Linked DNA regions of Notamacropus eugenii. The protein of the gene in region 1 purifies or fractionates together with the protein of each later gene. This does not show direct contact. Links are inferred from orthologs where the notes say so. Each region holds a gene or a part of one and is shown in the gene's direction. Other genes may lie near its edges.

Evidence for each region. Proteins that work in one complex are often made in the same cells at the same time.
Region 2: the proteins of NPC1 (region 1) and serum paraoxonase/arylesterase 2-like purify together in Homo sapiens (affinity purification with mass spectrometry; 3 studies listed by BioGRID and IntAct, with this or other methods). This does not show direct contact. The link is inferred for Notamacropus eugenii from reciprocal best matches to the Homo sapiens genes NPC1 and PON2.

The regions. Positions count from the first base shown.
Region 1 is NC_092875.1:247,653,534-247,661,509, reverse strand, and holds the start of NPC1 (NPC intracellular cholesterol transporter 1), read left to right. Parts: upstream 1-4,896; 5' UTR 4,897-5,096; coding exon 5,097-5,165; intron 5,166-7,976. UniProt on the Homo sapiens protein: Intracellular cholesterol transporter which acts in concert with NPC2 and plays an important role in the egress of cholesterol from the endosomal/lysosomal compartment.
Region 2 is NC_092874.1:824,080-832,172, reverse strand, and holds the start of serum paraoxonase/arylesterase 2-like, read left to right. Parts: upstream 1-5,084; 5' UTR 5,085-5,205; coding exon 5,206-5,279; intron 5,280-8,093. UniProt on the Homo sapiens protein: Capable of hydrolyzing lactones and a number of aromatic carboxylic acid esters. Has antioxidant activity. Is not associated with high density lipoprotein.

The DNA.
Region 1 (7,976 bases):
TTTATACTTAAGGAACTTAGTGATCAATGAAGATTATATAAAGAAATGGTAGAAACCAAGTCACTCCAGGCTGTAAAATTTTTGTTCCTAATAAATACTGAGCAAGAATGACTCAGAGGCTAGAATTATGCATCAGAGGTTGACCAGATTCTGTGGACTCATAGATAACAAATACCCATGTTATAATATAGACATCAAAAAATTCATGAGGATTCAACAAACTGTGTTGGAAATGGAGCATAACTCTGAACCACAAAAATTTAAAGACTATCCTTTACTAAACAACTCCACTCCAAAATACACATAATCCTAAAGCTTTGTGGAATAAAAAGCTTTCAAAATAGAAACCAAGCAAAAGGAATCAAAATCATGTGAAATTGCAGAGAAGGTACTTAATCCATATTCTCATTGTCCAGTCTGCTAAAACAGTTACCCAGAAGATGATTTCAGTGAGCCAACAGAAGGTGGTCTTATATCCAATTACTTTTATCCAATTATAAGAAGCAATTATTTGATTCACTTGGGCAAGAGTAACCCCATAAAAAAGATGAGAATGAGATTTTATATTCATATATCTATATGTGTGTATAATATTGCTAGTATGAGTATAGAGAGTGAATAAATTAAATACTATTAGTCTTTTATTATTTTAAGAGGGCAAAAATATTTGCAGTTTTCTTCATCTGGGAAGCAAGCAATGATTTTCCTTTATATAGGGTTATTTTACTTTCCCTCAATAAACGAATAAATAGATGGATAGATAGACAAATAAATAAATGTATGCCAACACAATTTTAAGCTGAATTTGCATTATTAATATTTTCTCCATCACTATCTAAAGTCTAGACAATCAACAAAATGAGAAATCAAGCTAATTTGTAGTATTTGCCAGTTTCTGAGGTATTTACACGAAAAATTTAACAATAGGCTTGAGCTAACCGAAGCTGATTCCACTGTTTGATGTTGCTTAGTCATTTCAGACTCTTTGTGACATTATTTGGGGTTCTCTTGGCAAAGATTCCTGAGAAGTTTGCCATTTCCTTCTCCAGCTCATTTTACAGATAAGGAACTGAGGCAAACAGGGTTAAGTGACTTGCCCAGGGTCACACAGCTAGTAAATGTCTGAGGCCAGATTTGAATTCAGGAAGATGTCTTCCTCACTCCAGGCCTTGCATTCTATTCACTGTACTACTTAACTGCCTGACTCCATTGTATTCCAGCTTATACAGAGCACTGTCAAATATTCCTTACTTGACTCCAGTCCAGTGTATAGATTGAGAAGCTGTTTCCAGCAATGTGTGATTTTGTGTGAAGTAAGGATTACTCTGAGCTGCTGGAGTAGGAGGAAGGCCTATCTCTCACCTAGACATCAGAGATCTCACTTTCATTTTCATTTTGTTTTGTTTTGTTTTCTTTTCTGATCTTAAGTTAAAAGATATATATATATATACATATATATATATACATATATATATATGTGTGTGTGTATATATATATATATATATATATATATATATATATATATATATATATATATATATATATATATATATATATATTCCAAGAGGAGAGTTACTAGGTGAACTTGGACATTTAGGGTATCTTGAGGTTCCAGCAGAATTTTCACCAGTGATTGGAGTCAATATTAGTGGCCACTGGAATGGTAAAGGCTGATGACAAAGGATGCACCTACGGATAGATGGAAAACAGTCATCTGAGGATGGTGGCAGTTTCAAGGACAGTGATTCTTGTGATAGAGAGGAGTGTTGGCTATGCACTTGAGAAAGGCACTAATCTTTAGAGTCCAGCAGAGAGGTGCACCTAAAGGGAACTTCATGAGGACTCCACAAAAGGAGATAAGACTTCCAGGACCAATAGTTAGGAGATACTCCTTGGCCAAATGTGTCCTTTATACATATGTTCCATTATCATCTTCCTTTAAATCTGAACACACTTTCCCCAGGGACATCAAGGTCCCTAAGGAGAGTGGATTAAAATGTAAAGAGAGATGGTAATGCATTAACTATTCTTGCAGTATCTTTTTAGTAAATACCTTTTCTAAAAGCTACTCTGGTTCCCCAGGCTGCTTGGTAATGGGAAACAATCAAAGGCAACTTAGGAGTGAAAGTGTTGGAAGTCACAACAACCATTCAGGGTTAACAGCTAAGAATCCTGAGGAGAAAAGTAGTCATTCCTCTCTGAGGATTAAAGACCAAGTTTGATGGAAGTTGGCAGATTGAATCCAGAGTGAGTGTTATAGTAGCATAGCCTAACCTCATTCTACTTTGGCCTTCCATTGTTGGGAAAAGTCATCCTTGCCTCAATGCCCTTAACTACTGAAAGCAAATAACTAGTAATTTTGATTGCTGCAAGAAACAATTTGTTTGAAATCTGGGGGGAAAAACTGTCACCACAAGGATGCAAAATGTAGGTTAGAATGTTTTTGTATTGGTGTCATTGTAACACAAATGCAAATCTTGGATCTGGCAAGTGAAACATTAGAATGTTGGACTTGGAGCCAGGAAGGGGAATTCAAGTCCAGATTCAGATAGCGATCACATGTGGGACTCTGGACAAGTCAATTAACCTCTACTTTGTAAAGAAATACTAACTTTTTTTTTTTAACTTTGATCAAATAATTTTAGCTCTTTAGGAAAATTTCCTTAAATGAGTGGGTTGATACTTCCTGAAATAGGGGTGACAGACACGGCCAATGTGGTAATTTTATTTGCTTGAATTTGAATTTTTGTCACAGAGGTTTAGTTTGTCTTTTTTTTCTCCTCCAGTGGGGAGCAGGATAGGGAAAGGGACAAAAAGAGAAGTATAAGACAGCAAAAAAGAAAAAAGTCATTGAACCATTGTTTTAAAAATTCCTAAGAGAAAGCAGAAAGGCCAAAAAGAATCGTAAAGTAGAACGACTTACAAAGTTACATGTTGAATTTTAAATATATTAAAGTTATCTGCACATAATAGAGATTCAGTTTCATGTACAATCCTTTTTCTGTCCTACTATTTATATAGATATGCCTATTTTATTTGGTGTTTATTGAAAATTCAACTTTTTGATCCAAAATTTACATTAATAAAATAGAGGATTGGACTAGATGGGTCTCTAAGGGTTCTTATTCTCTATCACGATGATTCAGCGGCAGATGAGTCTCCTTGGCCCCGAACCAGAAGGGTGACACCAGACAAAAGTTTGCAGCTTGGTTTTCAAGCTCCCCAGTTAGCTGCAGGTACTTGCAAACAGCAATGCAGACTTTTACAGAAAGATGTGTTTTCAAGCACTCGGGGAGCTTTGGCGGAGCCAGCTGTAAACACAGTCGGGTCGGTGACGATTAGATATCAGGCCCCGAGAATCTAAAGCGTGACTCCCAGGGAGAGTCACAGTCTCCCCACACCGCCCCTCCCTTCCCCTCCCTTCCGCCAATGACTAACTCCTCTCTGGCTTTGGGCTTGTCTGATAACCTCACATCACGGGTCAGGCCACCGCGCGTCAAGCTCGCTGGGAGCGATCCCACTGCCCTGGCTGTCCTGCTGGGAGCTGTGTTTGTGGTGCAGTATTAGCCAATAAAACTGCGTGGGGCGGCCAGGATCGGAGCGTCCCTAGCTGGACAGCCCATTAGCGATCTTCTAGTTAAATCTCCTTGTTTTACAGATGAGAAAACTAAGAGCGCATCCTCTCCCTTCCTCTCTCCCCGCTCCTCTCCTTTCCCTCTTCCCCTCCTCTCTAGGACAGTTCCCTTCCCTCGCCCCTCCCCACGTCTAGAATGCCCTCCCTTCTCCTCAGATCTCCCCGGCTCCCTGGGGAAGCCCTCTCCAACCTCTCTTCATTCCAGTGCCTTCTGTTAATTATTTCCTATTTATTCTGTATATCGCTTGCTTTGTATATATTTGCTTGCACGTGGTCACCGTAAACTCCTTGGGGGCATGGGCCGTCTTTGGCTTCTTTTCCGTATCCCCTGGCCGGCGTAACAAAAGGTGATTGAACTGAAGTGAAAAGATTCGATAAAGCTGACTCAGAGGCATAATTTGATCTCGGGCCTCGTGGCTCACAGCAGGGGTGTTTCCTTTACAACCGCCCCGCTCCTAAACCCGACCACTTCATTTCCCTTGGGTGGATGCGGTTTTGTTTTCGAAACAATTGCTACGAGATATCCTTTGGAGGGACTCCACACCACCCACCCTCCAATTCTGGAAGTAAACAGGCCGTCTCCGGACCCTGGGGCCCCTCGCTGTCCCCAGGAAAGGTGAACTGTCACTCTGGACAAGGAAAAATGACTAAGTCCCTGGGGACATTCTCCTCCCCTAAAGCATTCCAGAAAAAAGGGAGGGGGCCGGATGGAGGTCCCTGAGTTAGGATGAAACCATTGGACTCAAGGTGAAGAATGGGGTGGAGAGGGGGTAAGGGGCATCGCTAGGATTCCGGGCCACTGAAAGGGGCAAGGAGCGGGCGAGGTGGAAGCAGAGCCACAGGAAAGAGACACGAAAAGCAAGGCCGCCTGCACCGAGGATTAATAATGCTAGGAGAGAGAGACCGCGGCCGAGAAGACACCTAAGGCGGCGCTGGGGCACTGGCGGAGGGAAGATCGTTGGGAGGGTCTAGGAGAGGACGCGAAGGAGAGCTGCGGCAGCTGCGGCCCCGCGCTCGGCGGAGGTGGGGGGAGGAAGAAGGGGAGGAGCAGCGCCGGGCGGCTCCAGGCCCCGCCCACTGAAGGTGGGGAGAGGGGAGAGGAGGCGGGGCGTGAGCCAGGCGCCCGTCACACCCCTCCCCTCGAGCCGCCGCGGCCGCTCCCGGGGCGAGCCAAGGGGCGGACCGCATGCGTAACCCCACCCTGGAGGAGGAGGAGGCGCGACGCCCCCCATTCTTCCCCCCTCCCCTCCCTCCTTCCTGACTTGCGCGTTAGCTCGATCCTGCCGGGGGCTCACTAAACTCCGCCGGCTCCAGCGAAGGCGGCGTCGCGGGGGAGCTGACCGGGACGGGACCAGGACGGGACGGGACGGCACGGCTCCGGCTCCCTTGGGCTCAGCTCCCCTCCCTCCGGCGCGCGCCCCTGCTCCCCCTGCCCCCGCGGGCCCGGTGACCGCCGCCGACCATGAGGGCGCTCGGCCCCAGAGCCGGGCTGCTGTTGGCCATCGGCCTGGCGCTGCTTTGTCCGGTGCAGGTGAGCGCCCCTTCCCGCGACCCGGGGACCCCTGCCCCGGACCGAGGCTCCGTGGGCCGGACCCGGACGCTTGTGTCGGCCGCACCCGAGCCGTGCCGCACTCTAACCTCGGTCCTCGGGCTTCTGACCCCGGGTCACCCCTGGGCTGGGGGGGTGCTCGGCTTCTCTGCCCCCCACAGCTTGGCCTCCTCTGCACACCCCCTGCCCACTTTCTTCTCCTCTCCCCCATTTCGTCTGTCTCTCTCCTCTCCCTCCCTCTTTTCTCTCCCCAGTTTCTCTCTCTCTGTGTCTCCTCTCCCTCTTTTCTCTCCCCAGTTTCTCTCTCTCTGTGTCTCTCTCTTCTCCCTCTTCCTCTCCCTCCCCTTTGCTGCCTCTCTCCTGCGGAAGAGATGGGGGTTGCTGTGCAGGGGTTGTGGTGACCCCAGCCATGCCCCCCGGCCTGAGCGCGGTCGGGCCATCTTGGCCGATGCCCTCCCACGATGTGGAGTTTAGAGTTGTCTGAGGGGAAGAGAGGGGGGAGAGGAGACTGGAACTAAAAGGAAGAAAGGACCGCCTTGCCAGGGGGTCCTCGCCAGCTTCTTGCATGGGTTCGCTTCTCCACCATACCTGGTCAGGTGGGTTAGCTTCGGAAGGAACGGGTAAGCTTGGTGACAGTGGGGAACAAGCTTGTAACACACACCTCCCCCTTAATCCTTTGGTTTTTAGTCCGGTGGAACCTGTGGACCGCTTGTCACAATGTTTTTACATAATTGGAGAAAATGCTGAATTTCAGTTAGAATGGGAAAATGAAGATTGCAATTGTTTTGACCCCTCTAAGTTCCCTATCCCTTGAAGTCTGTCCGTAGACACTGCCCCCTTCTCCTTCCCACCAGGTTAATAAACCTTGATCTAGTCCTGCTCTATTTTACAAGTCTGAAAATTAAGGGCTCTGGAGAATGGACTTGCCAAGACATGGGGGTAATGAATGGAGAGTTGATCCAGAACTTTATTCTTTGGATTCCCTGGCCACTCACTGCTCTTTGTAGAGTAGCATGCAGTTAACCTGAGGCATTGCCCTCATATTTGTCAAATGTTATTTTAGCCTCACACCAGGGGCTTGCTTGAAAGCTTCCTTATCCTTTAAGGATTTGTCTATCCTCTTAAGGGGCGGGGCTCTTGAATCACAGCTTCCTAAGAGAGAGCGTTAAGAACCTAGTGACTTGGAGGAGTATCCTGAAGCAGGTGGATCTTATTTCTCTGTTTTTGTCCCTTTTTAATTGCTACCCTAAGAACATACCCACCCCACCCACAGGTATTGGACCTGTGATTTTATTGGTATTGGAACCTTAACTCCATTTAGCAATGAAGGTTTACACCTTCTGTGCAGTAACTTGAGAGTTGCCTAGAGCAACTTTTAGGATCATCCAGCCATTAAAATGGTTCAAGGTGACAATTGAAACCAAGTGCACACTTTTTAATAAAAATGCCATTTATAAGATCACAGTTGAAGACAGCTAAAGTATTAGATGAAAATTTATTAAGTACCCTCATTGTGTTGATTTGGGGGAGGGGGAGAGTTCCTAAAGATTGGGGTGGATACCAGCCTCTACAAAAGCTGAAAAACTGGCAAGTCAAGTGGGAACTTCCTTATAGCAGGTGTATGTGTAACTTCTGAGTGTTGTGATTTGCCCTCTCTCAAGAATGGTATATACTGGTACATTTCTACTAAAAGAGTACATCCAGGTGTAGGACACCCCAATCCTTATTTACTATACCTGGTTGGAAGGATTTGTATACCATACAAAACTGTTTTTATTTTGGTCATTTTTTAAAAATCAGATTTTTAACACTCATACTATACTACTCAAGAAAAGTAAAGAAAGTTTTGGGGAATTTTTTTCCCCTCTTAGAATCTCCAAGGAGCCAAATACCTGGTGAAAATCAAGGAGGGAGGAGAGAGAAGTTTGCCCGTTATACATCTCACTAAGTGGTGTTATATTGGCCAGTTGGCCTACTGCTATGATCATTTTTTAAAAAGGTGATCCCTATTCTGGATAATCCTGGATAATCTGGAAAGCCAATGCTTTCACCCCTACGTAGTTAGCCCTCTATAACATGCAGAGAGGGAGGTCCTTGATTAAAACTAAGTATTGCAAAATGCCTTGAAGCTTTTCCCAAGGTCTTTAAATCTTAACATAATGATAGTCCTTACAACATTCTTTTTGTTACAAAACAACTTGACTTGCTTTGGTGGTTTTTGGTCCAGTGGAATGGCTTGCTAATTAAAATCCAGTAGCTACTGTCAGTAAAAACTTCACAAACAAAGCCTCACTTCTGTTTAAAAGTGGTAATTGACAGTTTTAGGAGTGGCAAGGTAATTTCCCCGGCAATAAATCTGATCTTGACTTTGGAAGGTGGAGGGAGAGAGGAATAAGAGGCTGCTCTTGCTCAACTCTTAATTTTTTTTTTTAACAGCCGATAAGTCAAACAAAATGAGAGCATTTGGCCTGGAGCCATTTTTTTAATTTTATTTTTTTAATTAAATTATTTTGTTTTCAGTGTTTGACAGTCACTTCCATATATTTTAGATTTTCTTCCCCTCCCTCTCTCTCATTTCCCTATCCCTCCCCCACTCCTTTCCTGAAACAGCATACAATGTTATATAGTTCTATACATACTTTCCTATTAAATACATGTTGCATAGAAGAATTAAAATGAATGGGAGAAACTATTAAATAAAACAAAACAAAACATAATACAAAAGAAAATGGTCTGTTTCTATCTGCAGTCCAGTTCCATAGTTCTTTCTCTGGATGTGGAAGGCGTTTTGCC
Region 2 (8,093 bases), on another chromosome or scaffold:
AAATATTGGCTTTGAAACTTAAATACTTTGGCCACATAATGAGAAGGTGAGGCTCATTGGAAAACTTTGATGTTGACTGTGGTGTCAACCAGGGGCAGGGACAACGTCCTCTTGCTCCCTCTGCCTCCCTCAGTGCAGCCTGGGATCCCATTCACATTCTCTGCAGCCACATTACACTGTCCACTTGGGATCCAAGAAACCTCCGCGTCTCTTCTAGGTAAAGTGCTTTCTATTTCTGCTGCCCCCTTGTGTACTTTCAGAGATGTTTTATTTGGGAGAAACTGTAAAACTCTCCATTTCATCATGTTGGATTCAGCTCAGTATAGATTCTAGGCTGAGGCAGCCAATGATGGGGTTCAAATCTGGCCCATTGTCTGTTTTTTTACAGTCCAATCTAAAAAGACAAACTTTACTTAAAAAACTAAAACCATTCCTAGCTGACTGGCAATCCAACAGTAGGATGCAGGCTGGATTTGGGCCCAGGATCCCTGTTCTAGACTCTTCTAGGCTGTTTTGGATCCTTGCTCTCACATTGAGAATGTGATTTCTCACTCCCAGTTTGATGTCATCAGCAAATTAGGCATTTTCTCCCCAGCTGAATTGATATTTTTGCGTCTTTGAAATGTCATTCTTTTTTTAAAAAAAATAATTTAATTTTAGCTTTCAACATTCACTTCCATAAGATTTTGAGTTTTAGATTTTCTCCCCCTCCCTCTTGGAATGCCATTCTTGAGAGCCTCCTATACCTCTTGGACTTAATTTCCCAATTGTCTCTGGGTTCAAATCCAACCTCAAACACTTACTAGCTGTGTGACTGGGCAGATCATGAGATGCCCCTGACTTCATTTTCCTCCTCTGTAAAATGAACATGGTAAGGCTCACGTATTGCAAGGGCTGATCCTGACATAAAGCAAAGATGTGCCATTGTGTAGCTCAAAAGGAGGAAGAACACATATCCCTAGTCTCTTCTCTCCCAACATTTCTCCAGAGGAGATTTTAATGCTTGCTCAGAGGAAAAACAAATGGTTGGGTCTGGAGGCCACTCTGCCCTACTCAGAGATGGAGGGAACCAAGCTAGAATTATATCTATCTGCTCCCTTAAATATTGTTAGTGTAGGGGATGTGTGTTTTAGGTTCAAGATAAACTTCTGGTCATTTTTCATTACTTGGAAAGAGGAGGATCCCAAGCTTTATACCCAAGGATTAAAACTCCCTTTTCATTGAATGCCAATATACAGCAAATACACATAAGAACCAAGAAACTCATTTACCCAAGGCCATAGTCAAGCAGAGTTCAGAGAAAGTGCACAGAGGACATATGCCAGACAACACAGGGTGAAAGATCTCTCCCACTGGGAACAGGATAACTCAGCTCAACCAAGAGAGACAGTCCCAGATCTCTCCCCAGAGGAAATATCCTGAAATCTTTAGTGGAACAAGCTGGGGGTGGTAACATGCGAAAGATTGCCTGCCCCTCTCATGCTGATTCTGGCCTCCTCCATTTTCTCTCCTGAAGCTGGAAGCCAGAAGGAACCAAAGTGACTCTAAGCTTGAAGAGAATGAAGAACTCTCCTCTCTCCAACCTTGCCCCATTCATCTCCACCAATGAGGAAAGAGTCTCATTTGGAGTGCATTTAGGGTTAGGGTTAAGGTTAGATGAGCTTTGAGAGTAGGGTGACATTCCTCCCCAGGGCTGAAACTTTTTTCAGTTCCTTGCCAGGATCAGCTGGGGCAGGTCCAAAATCTGTAAGAATCAACCTAAGTATCAGTGCTTTCAAACAAGAATGATTCTCCTGTCATCCCAGGCAACCAGTCTTCAATACCATTGAAAATGATATTAAATACTCATTAAGAGTATATGCAATCCAGAAAAAGAACTATGGAGTCAGAATACAGAATGAAACAGACTCTTTTCTCTTTTGTCATATTTTGTTTTTCTCATGATTCCTCCCATTTGTTTTAATCCTTCTATGCAACATGACTAATGTGAAAACGTGTTTAATAAAAATCCATGTGTAGAGTCCATATAAGATTGCATGTCATCTTGGGGAGGAAGGGAAAGTGATTGTTGAAAACTGAAAACAAATAAATTAATAATTTGGGGGGGGGGATGAGTATATGCAGGCTTCACACAAAGTTGTTAAGTCATTTTTTCAGTCATGTCGTACTCTTCAGGACCCCATTTCAGGTTTTCTTGGCAGAGGTACTATAGTGGTTTTAGTCACTTCCTTCTCCAGCCCATTTTACAGATGAGGAACTGAGGCAAACAGTGTAAAATAACTTGTCCAGGGTCACACAGCTAATCTCAAGCCAGATTTGAACTCAGAGAGATGAATTTTCCTGACTTCAGACCCAGCACTCTCCACTGTACCACCTGGCTTTCCAATTCTGATTTCAGATGATCTCTGTGCTTTTCACCAGCAAAAGCAAGACGGAACCCCTCAAGGTCTTAGTGTCATCTTTTCTAGAGATTGCTTCCCATGTGCCCACATTAATACACAAACATTCATGCAATTAACAGATGTTCAGTGTTGTAACAACAACACTCTATCGGATTAAAATACTGAGCCGAAGCAATACAATAGTACAGCAAAAGACTTGAATTCAAATCCTGACAACCAACAGTCGGTGTCAAGGACTTGTTCAGGTATCACCCTTTCAGTAGAACTTGTAAGAAATAAAATACTCCAAGTCAATAAATGCACGATTATCTAACAGTGGGATGAAGCCAAGCTAGAGAGGTCTGTGGCATTTCCAAACAAAAGTAATAAAACAAAATAGAACTGACATCAAAAACTTCCAGGATAGAACCAAACTATCTGTGACTCTTTAAAAAAATTCTGCTTCCATTGAAGAGAGAAGGAAAAAAAGAAATGAGAATACAAGCGTTTTCCAGACAGAATGGGTGGGAAACAAAACTGACCCCAGAAGACAATTTCTAGCCAGCCTCGGGGGGCTTGTCCGGGAGCTACTCATTCAAAACAAAGGGTTGGGAAATGGAGACCCAAGAGATGCTTCAGGATACGCTGGCTCAAAAAACCAATCTGAGGGGGAAGATTTCCCTCCAAGTTCATTGTCTCTCACCTGTGGATCCAAGAGGGACAATAGAAATTTCTAGCCTCTTCCCTTCCCCCCACCTTCTACAAGGGAGACTTTACTCTCTGCTAGGAGGGGAAGCAGGAGAGCGGTGGCTGAAGCCACCAGGCTAGAATTATATCTATCTGTCCCCTTAAATGTTAGTAGTGTAGGGGATGTGTCTTTCAGGTTCAAGGCAGCTTCTGATCACTGTTTCAATAATGGTTTGGTGGGAAAGAAGGACCCCAAGGGAGAAAATATACTGGACAATACAGAGTGAGGGAGTTCTCCCATTGGGAGTGAGGAAATTCAGCTTAACCAAGAGAGCTGGTCCTGGTTCTATCCATGGGGAAGTTCCCCAAAATCTCCAGTGAAACAAGCTGAGGATAGAAGCCTGATGGACCAGCTCCTCTCATTACCTACTTGCTAAGATTAGATCCCTTCCATCTTCCCTCTCTCCCCCTCCCTCCCTCTCTCTCTCCTTCTGTCTCTCTGTCTTTCTTTGTCTCTTGTCTCTCTCTGTCTCTCTGTCTTCTGTTTCTGTCTGTCTTTGTCTCTCTGTCTCTCTGTCTCTCTCTCTTCCCCTCCCCCTCTCCCTCCCTCTCCTTCTCCCCTCCCTTCCCATTCCCTCTCTCTCCTGGAAGTCAGAAGCACCTAAGATTCTGCAAGCTTGAAGATTGAAGCATTGTTCCCTGCTCTGCCTCTCACATAGACACAGACCATTCACCTCCACCAATCAGGAGAGATTCTCATGCTAATGGGCTTTGGGGCTGGGGTTACATGGCTGTTGTGGGATCAAATGACTTAGTAACATATAAGGAGCCATGCAAAGGTTAACAGAACTGAAGACAAAGCCCAGACCCGTTGTTTGGAACTTCTCTGGTCCCTTTGAAGATGACCTCGCCTGACCTCACCAGCCCAAGAAGGCTCAGGTAAGCTGCCAGGTTCTGTCAAGAAACTGGAGCGGAGGGGTGTCCATTCCTACACACAACCCTCTCCTCCTGTGTGTCTGAGGATGAGATCAGAGAAGGAGAGCCCAGACACCCCAGGATTAAGTGAGGACAGTGCTCAAGGGCACAGAAGTTACTCCGTGATGGCCAAGGTAGCAGAAATAGGATTTTTTTTTGGGGGGGGGAGGATCATCACCTTGCCAGAACTCAACTTAGACCATCTGGGCTGGAAGGGAAATTCTGTGCTGGCCCTGGTGTGTGTGTTAGTGTGTTAGTGTTGTGAGTGCTGCTGTTTCCCCACCAGAAGGAACCTCGATCTGATGAAGTCCTCTGGATTGGCCCAGGGCCAAGGAAGGCTGGAGAAATCCATTTAGGCCAAGTATACCGGAAGGGAAGCTATCTGCAAGAGTCCTTCACTCGTGGCATTTGTCAGGCACAAGTTCAGCTTTCTCCACATTGAAACAAAATAACCACATTAAACTTCAGTCACTTGGGGGTGGGGGTGGGACTGGGCCTGCCCAGAGAAGCTCCATCAGAAGCAGGGGTCCTCAGACCTTTTTCAAATGTGGGAGAGCCACGAGGTTTCCCTCCAGGGCAGTGTCTAATGAAAATCCCGCACAAATGGGGGTGGGGGTAGGCTGGGGTGGTTATGCGATTCATTCCAATGCAATAAACTTTTTTATAACTCCCGACTGGACAAAGGGAGGCCACTCCCTTATCCCCCCTCCATCCCGCTCTTCCTGCCATCCCAAAGGTAACAAGGGGGCACCAGGGGGATGCAGGATCAGCTAGGAGGCCCGGTCCAGGACGGGATCGTCTGGACAAGATCCCGGGGGGAATTCTAGGGTTTGTGTGGTGGTGTTCTGGGCCCTGGGCACAGAGGGAATGAGGAAGGGACGGAAGACCTGGTGTGAGGGGGCGAGAACTGCAGAAGGAGGGGGCGGGAGGAGGAAACTGGGAAGGAAGGAGGGTCGCAAGATGAGGCGGAGACAGAAGGAGGAGATGGGGGCGGAGAAGAGGGAGGTTGGTGGAGTCAGGAGATGGGTGGTACCCTGAGCCCCAGTCCCGGGACCAGCGGAGCCTGGGATCCTGGGCCGGGGGAGGCGGAGCCGGGAGCCGAGGGGCAGCGAAGGCGGGCAGAGGGAGGAGCCCCCGGACCTGGCCGGGACCAGAAGCGGCCATGGCGCGGCTGCTCGTTCTCACTGCTCTGGGCTTGGCTCTAGCTCTCCTGGGCGAGAGGTTTGTGGCGCTCAGGTGAGAGGGGACTTGGGGCGGGCACAGGCTCCTGTGCGCCCTCGGACCACGGACTGAGAGCTGGGTGCGGGGGCTGGGGGGGACCATTTCTCTCGTGCTCTCCTCTACCCCCAATCCACTTCCATGCTCTGCGGCGGGAGGGTCCAAGGTGAGATCTGCGGCGACAGGGGGAACCTGGAAACTTCCCTTCCTCCGGTGAGGGCGGCCCGGCCCCTAAGCGCCCCGAACCGGGCGGAGGCGCCGGGCAGAGGGCGAGAGACAACGATCTGGAGGCCCGAGCGGCCCCGCCCTGGCCTCTGCCTTCCGCCAGCCTCGTCCGGTTCCTGCAGTCCCTCTTGAAGAAATGGGTCACTCAGTCCCCGGTCACCCGGCCTGCGAGGCTGGAGAGGGCGTGGCCCTGAGTCGCCCCGATTCGCCACCTCCACACGCTCGCTCTCCGCCGGTAGTGACAGCCCAGAAACTTTGCAACTTGTCTTCGCCCTTCCAGGGCGCCTCCCCGGTCTGCCCTCCCCCCCAGTCTCCTCTCTTCCCCTCGCGTTCTCCGACTCCCCTTTCCCTGCTCCCCAACACTGCACCTCCCGCCCCCGCCCCCCCCCCCCACAATCTGTTGCCTTTGGCTGGGGAGCATGCTCCTGTCTCAGCGATTTTTCCAGGCTGCTGGTGAAGAACATCCCTGCCCCTCCCCATGCCCCCAGCGTTGGCAGCAGCCCCACGCCCCAGCCTTAAGCCCAGTCTTGCTTCCTGGCTCTTCACTCGGGTCCCAGTTTTCACGTGTGCCTCACTGATGATGGTGACTGCTGTGTGGGGTAGGGGCATGTAAGGCCGATTTGCCAATTGAAGACAACAGTTAAAAGCTGGTTCTGACTGTGGGATGAAGGAGAAAGAGCCTGCCCAGCTTCTGGGTCCAGCGCCTCCCCACATAGCAGCTCTTGGCCAGCTCTCTTCTCCTCCGGGCTAAGAGACTGAAGATTCTGTGGCCCACGTGTTCTCCATGCAACTCCCAGGCCTGGAGATGCCATCTTTCCCTTCTGTCAGCCTAGGAGCCCGTGACCTTTGGGGCCTCAGTTTCCTTCTCTGTGATGTGTTTGGGCTTGATAGCCTCTGAAGTTCCTTTTCCATCTGGGATCCTACAGGGACTGCCCCCGGAAGACGATGGGGGCATGGAGGGATTCAGCCCAAGGAGCAGCCCCAGCCAGCATCTCCTGGATGCTGGCCATGCGTGGGCCCCACAACCTCTGGGGGCTGGGCAGCCACAAGGATTGTCCTGGGCCCAAAGCACCAATGTGGGCTCCCTGTTTCACCATTTGCTCCAAGGGGCACCGGGAGATAGAGGCAGGCTGTTCTCTTCTTTCTCCTTCCAGTTGATTGTGGCATTCAGGGTCCACTGTGGGCAGCAGAAAATGACTGAGAAGTGTCTTGGCCATCACGCCCCCACTATCCACATATGCATACGGACATGAGAACACAAGCACATCCTGCCATGTCAGTGGATCCTTGGTCAAATGAAGAGACCAGATCCAAGTGGGCCATGCTGCGTGTCCCTCTCATTTATTAATGGAGTTTGGGGATTAGGGTGGAGACACAGCCTTTGCCTGCTGAGGGCTCCCAATCTGAACAGTTACAGACCTCTTCCAGCTGGCAGGAGTAGCCTGAGATATGGGCCCACATAAGCGCTGGCTGCAATTGACTTTACGTGGCTTAGTGCTAGAATGTTGGACCTGGAGTCAGGACATGTATTTCAGTTGTTTCAGTCAGGTATGACTCTTCATGACCCCATTTGGGGTTTTCTTGGCAAAATAATTGGAGTGGCTTGCTTTTTTCCTTCTCTAGCTCATTTTACAGATGAAGAAACTGAGGCAAACAGGATGAAGTGACTTGCCCAGGAAGATGAGTCTTCCTAACTCCGGGCCTGGCATTCTAGCCCCTCCTCTACCTAGCTGCCCTAAAGTCAGGAAAACCTGAGTTCAAATCCAGACTCAGGCACTTACTGGCTGTGTGACCCTGGACAAGTCCCTTAACTTCTGTCTGCCTCAGTTTTCTCATCTGCAAAATGAGAATAATAGTAGCACCTTCCTCCCAGGCCTGTATGAGCCCAATGGCTGGCACACAGTAGGCACTTAAAACATACTGGTTTCATTTCTTCCATGCCGACCCACAGGGTGTGCTAGAAGCCGCAGAGACCCCAGGCCCTTCAGGAAGATGGAGGGAGTCAGGGACATAATAGATCTCCCCAAGGGTGTGGCCATGTCCTCCTGGGAGTCCTCCACCCAACATTCTGGAGCTTTCTGTGAATTCCTGAAGATGGTGGGTGCCTGTGAGGTGTATGTGCATCAGGGCAGGAAATGCTCCAACTGAATAACTGACTGTCACATCAGTAGCCAGGCTGATGCACTGGGAGCCTGATGGAGGCTTGCACTGGCAGGCTGAGTAGGGACTGTTCAGGGTACTGACTTATACCCTGGACCTTTGGAATTGTGCCCACTTGAGCAGGGCCATTCAAACCTTCTGTTTCTCGGCTTTGAGCAAGTTCTGTGACTCGGGTGTTTGCGGTGGGCCAACTCCACCCTTCCTGCAACAGTGTTGTCTGCAGAAGCTCACCAGGGCCAGCTCCCCAAGGGGACAACTCTTCTGTAATGAAGGGACCCTGGGAGTACAGAGTGATCAGTAGATACCTTCATATATGTTATTCTCCCCAGTCGGGGAAGCTGGGTCAGCCAGAGGTGCTGAGGCTTAGGTGCCCAGTATGGTGAGAATAGAGGCCTAGTTATTATCCATTTCAGTTCAGAGGGATCAGACAGAGGTGAAACTGTAGGG